Tribolium castaneum: one gene and its partners. The protein of the gene in region 2 purifies or fractionates together with the protein of the main gene of each other region. This does not show direct contact. Links are inferred from orthologs where the notes say so. Each region holds a gene or a part of one and is shown on either strand. Other genes may lie near its edges.

What was found.
Region 1: the proteins of Nup133 (region 2) and Nup160 purify together in Homo sapiens (co-immunoprecipitation; 4 studies listed by BioGRID and IntAct, with this or other methods). This does not show direct contact. The link is inferred for Tribolium castaneum from reciprocal best matches to the Homo sapiens genes NUP133 and NUP160.
Region 3: the proteins of Nup133 (region 2) and Nup37 purify together in Homo sapiens (affinity purification with mass spectrometry; 4 studies listed by BioGRID and IntAct, with this or other methods). This does not show direct contact. The link is inferred for Tribolium castaneum from reciprocal best matches to the Homo sapiens genes NUP133 and NUP37.

What each region holds. Positions count from the first base shown.
Region 1 is NC_087395.1:25,109,639-25,114,697, forward strand, and holds part of Nup160 (nuclear pore complex protein Nup160 homolog), read right to left. Parts: coding exon 4,890-5,059; intron 4,837-4,889; coding exon 4,664-4,836; intron 4,365-4,663; coding exon 3,979-4,364; intron 3,929-3,978; coding exon 3,710-3,928; intron 1,782-3,709; coding exon 1,663-1,781; intron 1,616-1,662; coding exon 1,353-1,615; intron 1,308-1,352; coding exon 1,004-1,307; intron 957-1,003; coding exon 757-956; intron 710-756; coding exon 577-709; intron 532-576; coding exon 349-531; intron 302-348; coding exon 135-301; intron 1-134. UniProt on the Homo sapiens protein: Functions as a component of the nuclear pore complex (NPC). Involved in poly(A)+ RNA transport.
Region 2 is NC_087396.1:14,344,601-14,351,154, reverse strand, and holds the start of Nup133 (nuclear pore complex protein Nup133), read left to right. Parts: upstream 1-2,772; coding exon 2,773-2,972; intron 2,973-3,019; coding exon 3,020-3,147; intron 3,148-3,193; coding exon 3,194-3,732; intron 3,733-5,199; coding exon 5,200-6,554. Other genes in the region: spas (spastin), read right to left, coding at 1-58, 110-322, 1,716-1,823, 1,895-2,065, 2,115-2,547. UniProt on the Homo sapiens protein: Involved in poly(A)+ RNA transport. Involved in nephrogenesis.
Region 3 is NC_087402.1:809,500-815,237, forward strand, and holds Nup37 (nucleoporin Nup37), read right to left. Parts: upstream 2,957-5,738; 5' UTR 2,939-2,956; coding exon of another isoform or gene 2,885-2,938; 5' UTR 2,880-2,884; coding exon 2,821-2,879; exon of another isoform or gene 2,796-2,820; intron 2,749-2,795; coding exon 2,678-2,748; intron 2,602-2,677; coding exon 2,543-2,601; intron 2,496-2,542; coding exon 2,313-2,495; intron 2,217-2,312; coding exon 1,602-2,216; 3' UTR 1,587-1,601; downstream 1-1,586. Other genes in the region: Nop10 (H/ACA ribonucleoprotein complex subunit 3), read left to right, coding at 2,885-2,938, 2,991-3,033, 3,085-3,182; DNA mismatch repair protein Msh3, read left to right, coding at 3,689-4,989. UniProt on the Homo sapiens protein: Component of the Nup107-160 subcomplex of the nuclear pore complex (NPC). The Nup107-160 subcomplex is required for the assembly of a functional NPC.

The DNA of each region.
Region 1 (5,059 bases), on a different chromosome or scaffold from region 2:
AAAAATACGATATTGCGAACTCAAATTATTCTCAAATCAAAATTCATAAAATATGATTCAGATCAACTTAAAAGCGAAATCGCAGATTTTATAAAGATTCAAAAAAATCGTGAAATTCGAATTCAAATCCTCACCTTATAGGACGACAGCAGCCACTGCGGTATCCACAGATTCATCTTAATAACCTGCTTACACACGATTTTATGAATAACGGACATTTTCTCCTCCTCGTACTCCTCCACACACTCCTGCAGGAGGCTCCACGCCGCCTCCGACGCACTTTTCGTCCCAACTGGCAAATCTAAAACCCTCAATTATCACACCCAACCCCCAAAACCACACTCAAACCTTGCAAATTGTTCTCAATCAGCCACTTCCAAGTCACCGGTTCGTTCTGTTTGGACAACGACGCGCATTTTTTCGTAAGTGCCTCAAACACTATCCTGTAAGAAACGTCAAAAGTCCTCGAAATTGTCAACGCCGTCTTAAACAAACCGGCACTAGTCAACAAAATCACCAATTCGTGCGGATCTAAAACCAAAGTTAAGACCTAAAAGTGCCTCACGGCTGCCTCACTTGTTATTTCGAAGTAGTTGCGCGGGTTGAAGCGAATTAACTTGAGCTTGGCGCTGGCGAACGCCAAGTCCTTGGACATTATTTCAAGGTTGATGATGTTCACTTGTTTGCGTACTATGATTTCTTCAGGCTCCTGTTGAAATTTTGAGTGAGGCACGCCTCAAATGCTAGGCTACTTACGTCATCCGAGCCGGCAAAAGTGGGTAAAGTGATGGTTTTATCCTCGATTTGTTCCACGGGCATTACGATGTAAGCGTATTGAGGCTCACACAAGGCTAGGGCGTTTTTCGCAGCAAGGTAACACTTGACTTGTTTTTCCAACGAGTCAGGATCACTGTATTGGCTGAGTCGGAAGGCTTGTTCATACATCACAGAGGCGGCTACAACCAACCAATCACAACAAATCGACCAGAAAATAATCCAGTACCGGCCCGCAAAAAAGTGGTCCCTCTTTTAATTTGATAAGCGTACAAAAAATCGTAGTAAATATTATTCGAGGGGTCGGCAGCGCGCGCCCTCGTCGAGACAATATCACAAAATAGCTCCTCCATCCCGCTGTACGTGAAACCCATCAAAACGTCCAACTTCTTCTCATCCAGCAATTTTTTCACCAAGTCGCGCAAATTGTCCTTGCGTCTGTCGGAATCCGGGTTGGCATTGAGCGAGTCATACGCACTTTGGTAGTTTTTCAGAGCCAAATGGTGCTTGAATTTGATGGAGTACAAAGTGGCCTAGAAGTAACACTAGTGGCGCCCTTTGCCTCAAATGGCACTTACGGTCAAAGGGTCGTCCGGTGAGGTGACACTGAGCGCCTTATTGGCCAAAGCGATCGCACAATCGTACGATTTGTGCAATTCGAACAAATGAATCACTTTCAAGTAGTAGTTAATGTAGGCTTTGGTTTGGTTGTGGTCAGGGGTTAGGATGCGTTGGGCCAAAAATTGGTCCGTGAAAATACCCTTGGCCGCATTTTCGAACAGTTCTTGCGCTTTGTACGGTTCACCAGTGGTTAGTAAAGACGCGGCGAGAAGGAAGCTATCTATAATAATTAATTAGTTGAGGGCGCTTAATTGGTTGGGTAATTACGTGTGCAACTATTCCATTCGCACCACGAGCTTATGTAGCGGATGTACTGCTGCAGCCATAAGTGTTGGCCACAACTGAGCAGCCATTCGGCCAAAATCGGGCTGCCACTGATCGGCCAACTGTACTTAGTTAAGGCACTATACGCAATCATTAAATAAAAAAATTGGAAATAACTAAATTTCCCATGAAAAATACGGTAAGACGCAAGGAAAAGCCAAAATCTAAGTTACTAGTTTTTAAAAACGTGTTAACCAATCAAAATAATTTTAGTTTGTGAAGTTTCTTTCAAAATACACTATTCGGTTTTATGAAATGTATTTTACGACAAAAGAATTAATTAAGGATGATTATTTAAATTGAACTAATTAATTTGATAATTCAACAACTGACGAAGAGTGTTTTTCAGTTTCTGGTAGTAGTATTTTTTTCGTAAATTTTGCTGTCCCGTCCGGTATTGCAAACAAATGCTTTTATATCTCACGGGGCTAAACAAGACCAATAATGTTTAATTTCCACTGCCTAATTTTGTTGTTGTTAAAGTCTTTAATAAATAAAACCTGTCGGAATAAATATTTTAGAGTTATTTTCATTCACAGGATTTTTCTGTCCCGTCCGTCATGTGTGCGTAAACAACGCTGCAATGAAGCCGAAATACTGATTTTGTGGGCGGGGCAGCCCTAAAGCCGGTTTATCGCCTCATTTGTTCCGTGAATCGGTAATTGGCCAATAAAAAGGAAGTAATTGTCGAGCTCCTTGTTTATCGGACGCACAAAAAATTGCAACACGATTAAGGTGTTTGTCATTGGATAGTGGTGGGCCATTCAGTGCGAACTAACAAACGGACCAATTAGAAAGCGTAGAGGGCATAACTAGTGTTTTATTTGTGCAAATATCGGGAATTATGCCGTTTTCTCTTTGAATTCTTTTTTAAGGTACAAGTTCGGCTTATTTTTGACAAAATTAGCACAAAAGTAAAACAAAAAAATTCGCCTCAGTTTTGAGAGAAAATTGTGCGAAATAATTGAGCTTTTCTGACGGAAAATAGTGCAAATATCAATTTTCAAATAATTAAACGCTGCGCTAACAGCAATTTTTTTATTTCAAAAAGACGAATTAACATCCAAATGGGAGAAAAAAACTATTACAAAGGTTACAAAAGGCAAAAATAACACCATTTTCAACCGAATTGTGTGATGTTTCGACTTGTTTTTTGCAAAATTTCGCTGAAATCGAGCGAAATAAACCTCTAATTCGGCGAGTTTTCAACCAGTTATATTAAAATTTTTCCAAAAAAAAAATATTTTTAACACAAAACCTTCCTAAACGTCCGAAAAAACGTCTAATTCGGCGATTTTTCAACCAGTAATATTAAAATTTTTCCAAAAAAAATTGTTTTCAACACAAAATCTTCCTAAACGTCCAAAAAAACGTCTAGCTCGGCGATGTTTCAACCAGTTTTATCAAAATTTTTCCATAAAAAAATTGTTTTGAACACAAAACCTACCTAAACGTTCGAAAAAAACGTCTAATTCGGCGATTTTTCAACCAGTTTTAATAAAATTGTTCCATAAAAAAATGTTTTTAACTTAAAACCCTCCTAAACGTCCGAAAAAAAGAAAATATGAAACTTTTAGACTTGATTTAAACTGTTTTAGCGAAATCAAAACCGTACTTACCTAATAAAATATTAAAAAAATATATTTCGGACTCAAAAAACGTAGTAAAGCGCTCAAAAATATATCATTAGGTCGAACAAGAAACAGGTTTTAAATTTGAAAAAATACTTAAACGTTTGAAAAAGGCTTTACCTAATTTAGCAATTTGACAAAATCATCCGAAGAAACAATGCAGTAACAATTTAGTGATTTTTAAGCTTACCTGTGACGGCCTGTTTTAGCGAAATGTGCCGAAAAAACCTGAGAAATGTTCAAAAATATGGTCGAAAAATGCAATAATAACGTCACTTTTTTAATTCAACAAAATATTCAAAAACTGCTTTTTATTAGTGGCGAATTTTCCTGTACTTAAAAAAATAAAAAAAGGATACATGATGTGGAAGAGGCAATTAAGATACGGCAAAAGCGCCAAATGCCAATGCGCCAGACTCTCCTCATCGTGCCTCAACCTCGCAAAGGCCTTCCGTGCCTCATACCCCCCTGTACTCCCCGCAAAAAGCTCCAACAACGAAATCGAGCTAATCGCATTCGTCCTGAGATTAAAAACAGGACTCAACCTCAACGACGACAGTCTCTGCAACGTCGACTCGCTAAAACCCCCAAATCATTATCCCTCCTGACTCAGTTAACTGTCGCTTACGTTGGCAAATACTGCAAAGCGGACAAACCCGACAGCCAAACCATCACGAAATTGGCCTGAGTCAAAACCACGATCTCGGGACTACAAACCGACCTAATCGCCTCTAAAACGTTCCAATCGAGTTCGCCTCGCTCGAGCAAAATGTTACTAATAAGCAAAAGACTGCGACAGATAGTGAACCGGACTTGGATCTGCTGTCGGAGACATCCTGTAACCATCGAAACACCCAACTGCGAGGTGAAAATGTGGTTTATTGAGGCTTGAACGCTGTCGATGGGCTCCTCTGGCTGGATTTGGTACTCGATTCGGAGCAATTCGAGGATTTTGTGGATGGATTGGTACAAATCGGTGCAATCGCGCACCATCTCGGCCACGTGCTCGGTGAACTAGAGCACAAATCGGGCGGTTTTTGCTTAACTATTTACGCGAGATCGAAAAAATACGCGAAAGCTCAAAAACTACAATAAATTGCAGTGCTTTAAATAATTTTAAAATTCTTCAAGAGTTTTCCGTAAATGATTTGAGCAGATATCAACAGAAGCAGCTGTCATTAAAATTTTCTGTGATATAAATATAAGAATGGTTCGCCAGGCGCCACGGTAAAAGTACCAGATAATAAATTGTAAAACGTTTTTTAGGGCTCAAAAGCCCCAGAATATTTTTTTAACATAAAAAAAGTACGAACCTCGGTGTCCATCTCGCGCTGGATCTGCTCAAGGAGAGCCCCCATGACGACATCAGGCGACTTCAGCAGTGCCAACTCTCGTTCGAACGTGTACGCGAAAATCTCACTCATCTGCGAATCCAAATAATTAATGACCTTGAACAAACTGATCACGTCGTCTGTGATATCAACATCTGCAAAAAATGAACCAATCACAATTGATTAATTAACTGTGCGGTTTAATTACTCTCAGACAAGAGGAAATATTTGGTGAATTGGTCCCTAAACATGTGGTCGCTTTCGTAGATGAAATGTTCAAAAATATCGAGAGGTCGCAAAAACGAAATCATGGATTTTTTCAAAAGTACGGCCCCGGAGGAGTTTGGAAGAACAAGGAGGCCTAAAGGTTTAAGTCCA
Region 2 (6,554 bases):
ACGCCTCGTAAATTGGGTGATTTGCCGCCCCGTGACGTCGATTTACTCGGAGTTGCTACTGTTGGAGGAACGAGTCAATAGTTATCGGACTTTCGATCGGGTTTATTACGTGAGGCTGTTGTTTTGCGAGCGGGAGAACCGGCGGTGCCCGGCACCGAGAGTTGCTTTTTGACGGCAGGAGGAGTCGACGAGAGCTTGTTAAAAGGGCGGACGGGCTGAATAGGGGCTGTCCGGGAACCCATCGAACGGGGCAAGGTTTGGCTTTTGGCCAGGGTCGCGTTCGGGGGGCGCTTACTGGCCACGGAGAGTTTCTTGCCGGAAGCTAGGAACAAAGAGAAATAGTGACACGCAGTTGGTGGCTCACAAACAAAAATATACACAGGGGTGATGAAAAAGTAGAACTCATTGTTTTTAAAAATAATAATAATTAAAATTAAAATATAAATTTCTTTCAATCAAAGAATCGGAATCAGGTTACGCAGTTTTTACACAGTGGCGAATATAAACCCTTATTAAATATAAAAGGAAACATTTTCTTCAACTTTAAAACAATACAAACCTAGAGAGAGGAAGCATAGAGGCCGAAAATGCGGATTATCATCAACATTTAAACTAAACAGAAATAATGGTCCTATAAATAATTAACATATTGAGCACCATGACACAGAACAAATTAATATAAAAATTGTACTATATTAATTAATTAATTAAATTAAATTAAATTTGCTACAAAAACGACGGTGACGGTGTACAAATTTAAGATGTTTTTCAAAAATTCTTGAACGTCTTTTAGAGCCTGAACCGTTAAAGACAGTAGTGTTATTCTGTCGTTGACTTGAAAATTTAGTTCTCTATATTTGTTTTTTTATATAGATATTTTTATGAGGTGTACCGTTTTCGCAGCGTTTTTAAAAAAGAAGATATTTACAAGGTTTTCATTTACTTTGCTCTACTTTGAACCCTTCTGTCTTAACATATCGTTAAAAGTATGCTTCTCTACGTGAATGCAATTTTATTAAATTTTATTACTGTTGAATAAATTAAACAAAGTTGAGACTTGGAGTGGGTTCTTGATCACTAGCTGGTTTACTTGTCTGTAGGACTTTGCATAAACAATTCTCTTATTTTGAACTATGTACTCAAAAAAAGTCAAAAAAGAATCGTATGGTCTCAAGTTACGAAAAAATACATACCTATTGTAATTATAATAATCACATTTTAGTTCAATATAATTTCACTTTTATAAACATAATAAAACTGCATCTAAGATAATAAAATAATTTTATCATTATTTAGACTGTTATAGTATAAAAAATTTTGGTAATTGCAGCAAATATACACTTAGGTATGCACTATCCAAATTTGTATGTGATTCAGGATAAGACTTCTGTACCCACTGGCGAATGAGATGTTTTAAAATTTGCTATTTACTTTACCAATTTGCAAACAAGAGACAAAGGTTTTTGAAGAATCAAGGTTAGATTCGCCACTGTCTGAATCATAAAAGCGATAAACTCATAATCTAGTTGTTAATTGAGGCTTGAGGCTGTTACTGCTCAAAATACTGTGTCGATAATGATTGCTGGGATTACATAATCTATGAGTTAATTACTAGGGATTATGGTAAGAAATCGAGCAACGCGTTCTACTATTAGAAGCCGATGTACTACGAGTTACACCAATGGAAGCTGAAATACTGAAAATAAGAAGAATACCTTTGTTAAAACAAAGTTTGGGAGTAGGAATATTGGTAGTGTAGCTAAGTTTAGGAGCCTCTTTTGGTTCTTTTTGAACATCCTGTCGATGTAACATATCCATGCTTTCTATAAACAGAAACAACAACAAAGACGTAAATACCAAACCAAAATGAGCAAATCAATCCAGTCCAAATTACCCAAAAACTGCAGCCTGTCCTTGGCCATGGCAAGATTGGTTTTCATTTTTTCGTGGAGGCGCTGGGCCCGCTCCCACACCTCGCCCCGGCCGCCCCAGCACTGCACCGCGATCCCCAGTTCCAGCTCCGTGATGCCTTTCCTATACAACTCGATGGCCAAGTCCTTCTGACCTAGAAACGACCATCAATTATTCACCGTGCCTCCAGACCGGGCACCGACCTTCGTTCTCTTCATCGATCTTGAGCGCCTTGGAGATGTACTCGAAGGCGCGGCGGTGGTGGTGCTTCTGCTTGGCCAGAAGGGGGTCCCCGGGCCCCGGCCCTGTGACCCTCTGGACGTGCGTCATTTCGGTGATCTCTTCAATGACACAAGTCGCAACTTGTTGGTCACTCTCACCACATTCAAACTGACGTTTCTTTACTAGGTAATTTGAGGAACTACAATACACGAAACGAAGGATAACAAAGATTTGGTAGAGCAAAGTGCGCAAAATGTTGAACAGAAAAATAATCGGGAAGGAAACGATGCATAGGTTTCGCTTGTGGACAGAGGTCTCTGAGTACGACGTAAACATCACATCGCTTCTCGAAATGTCGGGGTCACTTTTTCTTGATTTTTTGCCAGGTGATTTCGTTTGGGTTTTACGCACCATCCGGATGCCATCACACTCACGCTGTTACAGGGCTGCCAACTTTTTTTTTCATAATATTCAGCCACTTCGTTCCACAACGGAACATCGAGGAGTAAAAAATCACCGGAACCAAATATGATAACAACCAGGTGTTTCTCAGTCTCGTAAATAGATAAAACCTGTGATAAAACAAAAAATCACGCTGCTTTCCGGATAGGATTCCATGAACATAGAACCACATGCTACATGTGCAATGCGCGCATGTCATCTGTATCTGACATAAGTGGTCAACATTGTTATTACTTTTTAAATTTGAATATTTGTAATAAAGTCAGAATGGATAGAAGCTTCAACTCATCTTTCTCCACCAGAAGCCCGTTTTCTCCCCGTTCTCGGCAAAATCTCAACGCCAAGAAAATCATTCCGCCTAATTTCCGAAAATCATCGTAAGTTGACGATTCTAACCTCACTCTCATACTTACCGGTCTTTTAGCCGTTTCAGTGTCTCAGGAAAATCAACCCAATCGGTACAAATAATACTATCAACACCTTACAACTACGTTGAACGTTTCGGCCAAACCTTCCCCGTCCTAATAACAGAAGCCCTCACATTTGCCGACAGTAAGCCACCACTATAATTTCCCACGAATTTATTTTTTTCTTTAAGGAAACACCGTGGTATCGGCCCGAATCTCGAAACTGGGCTACCTGTGGGTGGTCTGCGGCCGCCGCTTGCTGATCTGGCAGTACCGCCAAAGCCCCGTGTTGCTCGACACCCCCTCGAAAAAGACAAGTTTACTAAACCAGTGCTTTGAACTGCAACTCCCGCAAAGCGACTTGGCGCACAGAGCTGAACTGGTCTCGGTTTTCGTCAATTCAGACTCGAACACACCTTCTTGTATCGCAGTCTCGCCGGAAGGTGTGGTGCGCTACTGGCCGGCAATTGTCCATGAAGGAATCTCCGTGGAACAGCACGTCAGTCTACAAGGCCAGGAATGCGACAGTTTGACCGATGTCGAGGGCCTTGGGTGCATTCTGGCCACCACAACGTGCACCGTTTTGTTGCTCCAGCCACAGCTAAGTGGCGGGAGGCACAGTTTGAAATGCAAAACACTTAAAATACCAACTGGGTGGTTGGGGGGCATTAGCAAGAGAATGTCGAGTCTGATTTTTGGGCCAATCGCGAGCGAAACCTCGGCCGAAAGTGTGAGTAGTTCTGGGCCTGAGAGCGAAAACAGCCTAAGTGCATTTTTACCAAAAAATTAATTATCATTAAAAGTGATATTGAACAAGCTTTTTGTTTAAAACAAAGTATTAAGTCAAATTTTTTAAAACACAGTGTCTATGTGGGAAAATAATTTTAATTTTTTCACCTGTGACGACAGCAAATTTTATTAGAAATTAATTAGAACCTTTTTTAAGGTATATTGAAATTGAAGACTCTTTGGACTTTGGTGTCATCACCTCCTGTTGCAAGAAAAAAATGTGCAGTTGGAAGCCAATTTAAATTAACTAGTTCACAGTGTTTTGTTTTTTACCAATACATGAAGCCAATGTGTGACGTCAAGTTTTTTGCAACAACTAAAATGTTACAGACTGCTTTTTTTGTACTATCAGGGTCAGTTTATCCTTATGTAGTAAACGATTAACATATTTTTATCCCAAAAACCTTAATACGTCTCTTCATAAGACTTTAAATCTTGATGGATATGTTCACGATGTTCATTGCTTAAGCTTCCCAGGTTTTGTTAGGATAATAATTAAACACAAACATAGAAATTTACATTCACCTGATGATGTTTTAAAGCAAATAAAATATTTATCAATTTGTTAGTTACGTCAATAACGAATGCCAAAGACACCAAAGATAAGACTGATTAAAAAAATAAATAAAAATGACATATTGTTTCTTTTTTTGCATTGTTTAGTGTCAGTTTCTTTTATTGTAACCAGCAGTAAATCTTTGGTATACCTCTTTTCATAAGACTTTAAATCTTGATGAAAGCGTTTACCATTTGATCGCTTAAGTTTCCCAGGTTTTATTAGGATAATTTTCTCACAAACAAATCAAATGTTATTTGGGCTTAATCGACATTCACTTGACTATACTTTAAAGCAAATAAAATGTTTAATTATTTAGTTATTACAGAAACAAGGAATGTCAAACTAGACACCGGATACGAATTTTCAAAACTTCTAGTGAATATATTAAAAAAAACTAGACGTGATAACAAATGTGACATATATCTTAGTTATCATTGAGAAACAGTACACAAAATCAGTATAAATTATCTCTTAGTAAAAGAAAAAAATTTGTAAACTAGTGGTACCAGAAGTTGTTTGGTTTCAGTTAAGAAAAGCAGAGATAGGAAAAATATATTTTCAAACAACTTTCACAGAAAACTTTAAATGTGTTACTATTACAGAAACCTTCCTTATCTTCAAAATACTGAAGATTTTCGAAAGACTTTCTTATGTAATAAATATATTTAAATTGTTTTAAAAAAACTTTCATTACAAGTTACACCTTGGATTCATTTTATTTAACTTTTTACATATTGAAAAAAACATTGGTTACTAAATGAGAATTTTCGTTTTAAATTGGCATTTTGGACTTAGGCTGTTCTCGCACTCTAATTATTGATTCAATAGTGATTAAAAAAATTCAAACAGGGAATAGTGCGCGTTCTGAGCGTCCCTGGTACAACTAGCGACACCTGGACGGTGTACGTTTTAGCCGACCACAATTTGCAAAAGTGGCAATTGTCCAAAAACGACGAAGAGTTGATATTTGTCACCGAATTGAACCGAATAGTCAGAGATAGTTTCTGTGGTGCCCTGTGGGAGAATTGTGTCGGAGACCAAACCGAAATTGATACCTGGTTACTTGACATACAGTCAGATAAAGACAATGTTATAATACTCGCAGCAGCGGTTAATATTCCTCGGGTACATTACGCGATGATAAGTCTACAGACGAACACAAATCAACCTCCAACAGCCGTTAAAGATTTTCTTTTGTTGAAAATTACGGACTTGTATCGGGAAAACAATCCGGGGGATTCCCTATCGTATCGTTTTCTTTTATGCGGCATTAATGCCTACTTATACAACCAGAAACATATCACCGTTATCAAGCCCCAAGAAGAGCCTGATATTTTAGAGTTCAACACACCTCAAGATTTTTTATTAGCGGGTGCGATCTGTGTCAACACACCTATATTTTTCTCGCGCAATCATGGCTTAGTCGCAGTGGCGAGCAATGATATGTCTAATGACTTAAACCTAAGTCTCACAGGCGCTAACAGTTTCGTGGAGACGTCGTTTAATGATAACGTGGTGGTTAATAACCTGTCCATTTACAACATGGACCCTGAGGAGATTTCCATTGCTTACAAAGACACAGTTAGTCAATTAAAGGCCGCTTTTATCTACCGGATACAAAACCAGGAGCAAGCCTGCAAGGAAATCATCGACGAGTTGTTCCCTCCTGACGCGTCCAAACTCCCAGGAATCGACTCATTACTGGATAAAGTCGTAATAATGATGGGCAAGGACTTAATCGATGACACCCCAGCCGGTGATCCCAGATGGTCAAAGGACCATCAAGTCGGGCTTGGCAGCTCACACTCGATGCAAGTCCTCGACCAATTAAAAAACAAACAAAAAGCACTCTCACTATTCATAAAATTCCTCAAAGAGTCAGGACTGTGGGCGCAATTGTCCGCATCCACAATTCGCAACACCACCACCGCAACAACGTACATCATGGGCGAAATATCGGAGAAAATCATAGCCGCGATCAGTCTCAAAACTGTCGCCTATAATCAAGTTCTGGAAAAAGCCATCGAAAAAGCGACGGCTGAGTCGGAAACCAAGCCGGAAAACGGGCTAACGTACCAGGATGTGTTTTTCCGGGAGGTCAGTCAGGTGCATAGAGGCATTCAAGAGATGGTGAATTATTGCGAGGACAAGTCACATTCGAACATGGATCCGGCCCAAATTGTTGACATGATCCACGACACCAA
Region 3 (5,738 bases), on a different chromosome or scaffold from region 2:
ATCAACAGTGGCGGTTGCCATGCCAACGATTTTTTCCCTTTCTTAATTGTAATTTTTTACAAGGTTTTTGCGTTGTTAAAAGGCGGCAAAAAGTCGATTTTCGAACGAATTCGGTAAAAGGGGCGAAAAGCAACGTCATTATCACTAAAACTGGGCTTAAAACGGGTCAAATTGGCCGATTTTGGCGAAAATTGGGTCAAATTGGGCCCAAAGTGTTGGTTTTTCGTCAAAAAGTCGTTACGTGTTGTGAGCGCTTCGCTTAAATACATTGTACAAATGGAGTCGTATACGCTTATACAGCTTGCCATATGAACAAAGCCGTGTCAAAACAAATCGGGTTTTTGCGCCAAGGGCTGGTCGAAGGAGGCTGCGATTTTGGGCAAAAATCGGTAAAAAATCGCCGATTGTGTAAAAAAATCGGCACGGGGGTGCGACAGCCCTCTGAGGAGAAAAAAAATAAAAACCGTGCGGATAGGCGACCCAATGCTATCCTTATGGCAGCCATTTGCTGTCCGTTATATGCACAGTAGCGAGGTTTCGGTCGCTTTGAGTTTGTTTGGTTGCAAAGGCTCAAGGGCGGCTGCCGTGCATAAAACGGGGGCGAAATGGATGAAACTACCCGTACAATAAATATGATCCAATGACAATATGTACATGCAAAAATATAAAAATTTCTTACCTGATTCTACCAACAAACTGAACACACGGCTTCGTTCGTATTTGGACCCCACGCCACTTATGCGGTCTATAGGAGAGAATGGGCGTCGGGGATTGGTCGGGTTTGAAGTTGGCGCGTTGGCGCGACCAATCACGAGGAGTCTAAACCATTTTGTTACATTTCTTTTATGAACCAATAATATACTTAGTTACACAATAAATGACTTGGAGTGTTTATGGATACGTGAGGCGGGAAAATTATTATTAATTCAGATGTGGGGACCGATAATTGTTGGGAAAAAACGTTGGAAGGGTTTTGGAATAAGTATGAGGCTGGTAGTGATAGGTTATGTCACTTGTTTGGGGAAAAAAATCACGGATGCTCCATTTTCGTATCATTAACAATGTTTGTGCGATAACTGTGTTATCGTATTTCCTATTATTTGTAGCACAGCACAGTTACACAGAGGAAACAAATTGTATTAAGTAAATATTAAAAAAAACTCAAAATTGCGTTTTTTTATTTAAAAAAAATGTGTATGTTAATTTTTATGCAAATTTTCATTCAAAATATCATCTCTTGAACCTTTTGTAGTAAGTGATTTTTTTTAATTTAATAAACAAATGTTTGAAGTACTAAAATTTTCAGCATTGTCAATTGTTAAATTGCAAGGCTACTAAGATTTTTTGAAAATATTGATCAAATAATGATTATAACACATTTATTTCAATGACAGTTAAAAGAACATCGATTTTTTTGATTCTAGTACTATTTAAAAAAGATTACCAACATACATATACAACCCTCCATGATTGAGTGTATATGTAATAAAATTTTTTGTATTTTTTCTGAAATCAAAATACTCATGAAAAGTGTGTAAGAACTCAGGTAAGAAGTTCCGGAGAAAAAAATTAAATAAAACACAGAATTATGTGAAATATGTTTATTTTGAGACAACTTTCCAAAAAGTCAACGTCATATAATCGCCAACGCAAACAATTGGATATCGGCAATGCCAACTAACATTACTCGGAAGTGTGACAGGAACTGACAACTTCATTTGATTAATCTGACAATCAACAATTTTCAACGTACTATCTAGACTATTAATCGCCGCCACCAAATTCCCAAATGAATTAAACCTAACAAAACCTCCAGCTTCGGTAAAAACAAGAGTATTACTCGCCGGAACGCACGGCTTTGACAAATCCCAAATGAGTAATTCCCCTAACTGCAATGATGCCACTAATTGCGAATCGGACGGCGCCCAATGGGCACAAGCTAGGGGCTTCCCATAATCAAGCGATAGAATTGGATTTTGCGTCTCAACGTTGTAGAAACGAATTAAACCGATTTTTTCAGCAATGAGTAATTTTGAACCGTCGTCTTTGTGCCAACATACTGACATTCCAGGTGACGTCAGTTGCAGTGTCACCACACATTGAAAATCGGTGGTGTCCCATAGTTTGGCAGTGTTGTCGTCACTCACTGACACCAGAAAATTATTGTCAGGGTCGAATTTAACGTCGTTTATGTAACTGTTGTGCTCACTTAAGACCTAGTCAAAAAAATAATTAAAAAAAAAGGTTTTTATTTACTAATCACAGCCTACTCTTATGCCAATTCAAATCAATTTATTTATTTATTTACGAACCTTACACACATCAGAGCCCCTTAAATCACTCCGAAACACTCGCACCTTGTAGTCTTTGCAGGCCGCTGCGAAAATTATATTATTTGGTAAAATGCTGGTTGATGTTTCTGGGGAAAATGTTAAGGAACAGCAGCGTGATTTAAGAGTGAATTCTGCCAAAATATCGAGTTCCAGCGATTGTTCCTACAATTTTAATAAATCAAACATCATTCTATTGTTACAAAACATACCTCATCTATCTTTAAATGCCCCAGGACTACTTTACTTTCGAACCCAATTAAAATCAAATCTTGGGAAAGAATAAAAGGGGAGAATTCAATGTTTAGTATTTGTCCATATTCCGAAAAATCCTTCTTAAATACTACCTTGGAATCGTTCAAATGCGATGCAATTTCCATAATTATGTTTGATTAGAAAAGTGCGCCAGAAATCTAACCTACAATAACCTAACTTTAGTAACTTTTGTGTTATGTCACCATGCGGCGTCATATTGGTAACCAAAACTAACCTTAAACCACATTTGTTGTGAAGCGAAAAAAATCGTTTTTTTGTGGGAATTTTCTTCATTCAAGATGTACTTAATGTATTATTTGGATAAAGACGGTAACCGGGTTTACACCTTAAATGTGAGTGTTACTTTACTGTCTTAAATATTGTGATAAATGAGTTTTTTTGTAGAAATTTGACCCTTCAGGAAAACCCACACTTTCGGCACATCCAGGTAACAATTCGTGAATTTTGGGGGGTTTACGTGAACTCATTATTGTTTTAGCACGTTTTTCACCCGAGGACAAATACTCACGTGAGCGAATCACAATCAAAAAACGTTTCGGGTTATTAATGACGCAACAGCCGGAACCAATTTATTGAGAAATAGTTTATTTTATTATTGTGATGAGAATATTTTTTTGATATGAATAAAAAATCGTAAAATAATGTGTTTTTTTTTTGTCATGTTGCTGCTTCTTCTACATTCTTCAAGTTATCTTTTAGATGTCTTTTTCAAAAAGTTATAGTTTTACTTAGAATTTTTCAAAATTATTTAAAAAAAAACTTTAAAAGAATTCCCCAAAATTGGGAAAATTCACTAGGTTGGCACCACTAACGGCGCTTGATTTTCAGTGCCTTGTGTGAAGAATAAGTCATTTCTTGACTGTTTTGTGGTAGTAAACGCTTGTCTGAATAAAGGGCGTAAATTCCAGGCCGTTTGTTGGTCATTTTGTGTAAATTAGCCATAGAATACACACACATTAGCTTCGCATTTTAGGGACATTTGGTAGCGTTATCAGCGCCGCCCTTGCCTGTCATTGTCATTTGACACGCCATTTGTGAGAAACCTTTGTTCTTTCTCAAAAAAATCAATAAAATACGTAAAAATGGGCGATCCGAGCCCAAGTGATCAGTTAGAAGACGGTGAAATAGTTGACGATGATGATTTCGAAGCCATTTCCGATAATTCCATCATCGATTCAACTTTTGGTAAGTTTGCTTCAACTAACCAACATTTACGTGCACCCCCTTTAAGTAGCGATAGTGAATCAGACAAGATCAAAACTAAAAAGCTACTGCACCGTAAATCAAAGCACCAAAAACGGCGCAAAAAGCGCCGAATACCGTCGTCTGACGACAGTGACAGTGATGTGTCACCTCCTCAAGATCTCAAGGGCAAGTTAAAAGAGGCGATCCACATCAGTGGTAGTGATGAGGGGCTCAAAAAACCCCTCGAGACACGACTCAAAGCCATGGGGGGCCTGGCCGCGAGCGCCCCCGAGCCCCCCCAAAAAAACGAAGACACCTCAGATAAAATGGACGATACTGAACTGGAGAATTTGCGTTTGGAAGCGCTAAAGACCGCGATTTTGAACAAATTCCAACGCCGGAAGCGGAAAAAGGAAGAAACGCTCGAAAATAAAGAGAATGATACGCCGAAAGATGAGAAAAAAACGGAGGAAAAAAACCCGGTTATTGACCTAGAGGAGGATGAGGACGTGTTAAGGGCCTCCCTGTTGGCGGGCCTTGCGAAAAATATCACTGAGAAAAGTGTAACCACTAAACCACTTCCTCCACCACTTCCGAAACCAGTAGTAACTGCGCTTCCAAAACGGCCAATAAATAACTTTAAAACCACGAAAAAAATCACAGTGACTAAACCATTAGTTAAACCGTTGATAATCAAAGTGAGTGATTCGGACAGTGACGAGGAAATTGAACCGAAACCAAGTGCTCCACAAGCGCCAAAAAAAACCGACTTGAATGTGATTTCGAGCAATGTTGAGAAATTTCTCAAAGAGCAAAGAGCCAAATTTGAATCGGAGAATAAAAAACGGTTTAAAATCGTCAATAACGATAAGAGTATCTTGGAAAAGTCCGCCGTTAAATTGCTACCAAAGTCGCAACAGCTTGAATATCAGCAGTTGCTTAAGCGGCTCAGAAATGCGGAAAAGACGAAAAAGGCACGGAAAATTAACGTGCAAAAGACTGAACCGGCGAAAGTTGCAAGTGAATGTGTGCCAAAGGCGTCAGTTGAAGTTACTGTGACGCCGGAAAAGGTGCAAGTTGAGGTAAAACCACAGACAAATGGGGAAAGAAGTGACAGTGAGAAGAGGAAACGGATCATCAATGAACTTACAACGTTGCAGAAGACGCTCAAGGAGATCAAGATGCAGAGGAATGGAAGGTATTGCTTTTGTTGTGTTTTTTTTGCATGTCTATTGTTATTTATTTGATGTTTTGATGTTGTTCGAAATTTTTACTGGACAAAGTTGTGTTTGTTACTTAATTTTTAGCGAGTTCATGCGAAATAAGTTCGTTCAAACATATTCGAAAAAATTAAAACACTGTTTTTTTACTAATTCTTTTCAATAAATAACATTAAATCTTTACAGTTTTTTTATTACTTTTGGAAAAAAAATTATAACAAAAAAAATCTCATCTCCACACAATAAAACTTTTGAACAATATCTTGCCATTTTTTTCTCGTATTCGTATAAGCAATTTTATTGTCCAATAAAAAAGGCTGAAATATTAAATTAGAATTTATTATTAGTTAGTTCGGTATAACAAGAGTATTGTTATCAAGAACTTTGTCGTCTTATTTTCATTGCTTCCTTCTTATCTAAATAATTTTTGCTATTATACTCATTTGTAACGAATACTTGGATGTTATAAAGCCGATAACAACTTTTTTCCGTAATCAGTTTTTAGATATCTCTATAATAGTTGACCCATCTTATCTTTTCATTTGTTTTTTTTTTTTGTTAGAAAATATTGAAGTAAAATGCGCTGCGATTCTAAAATTAGGTTGGCAATTTGTGAATGTTTTCCATGTCCTGTCCACAATTCATTGTCACCAACTGAATTTTAGAACCAAGCTCGACATTATTAAATATTTTTTTACTCTTATAATTAATTAAATTTGTAAGTTGT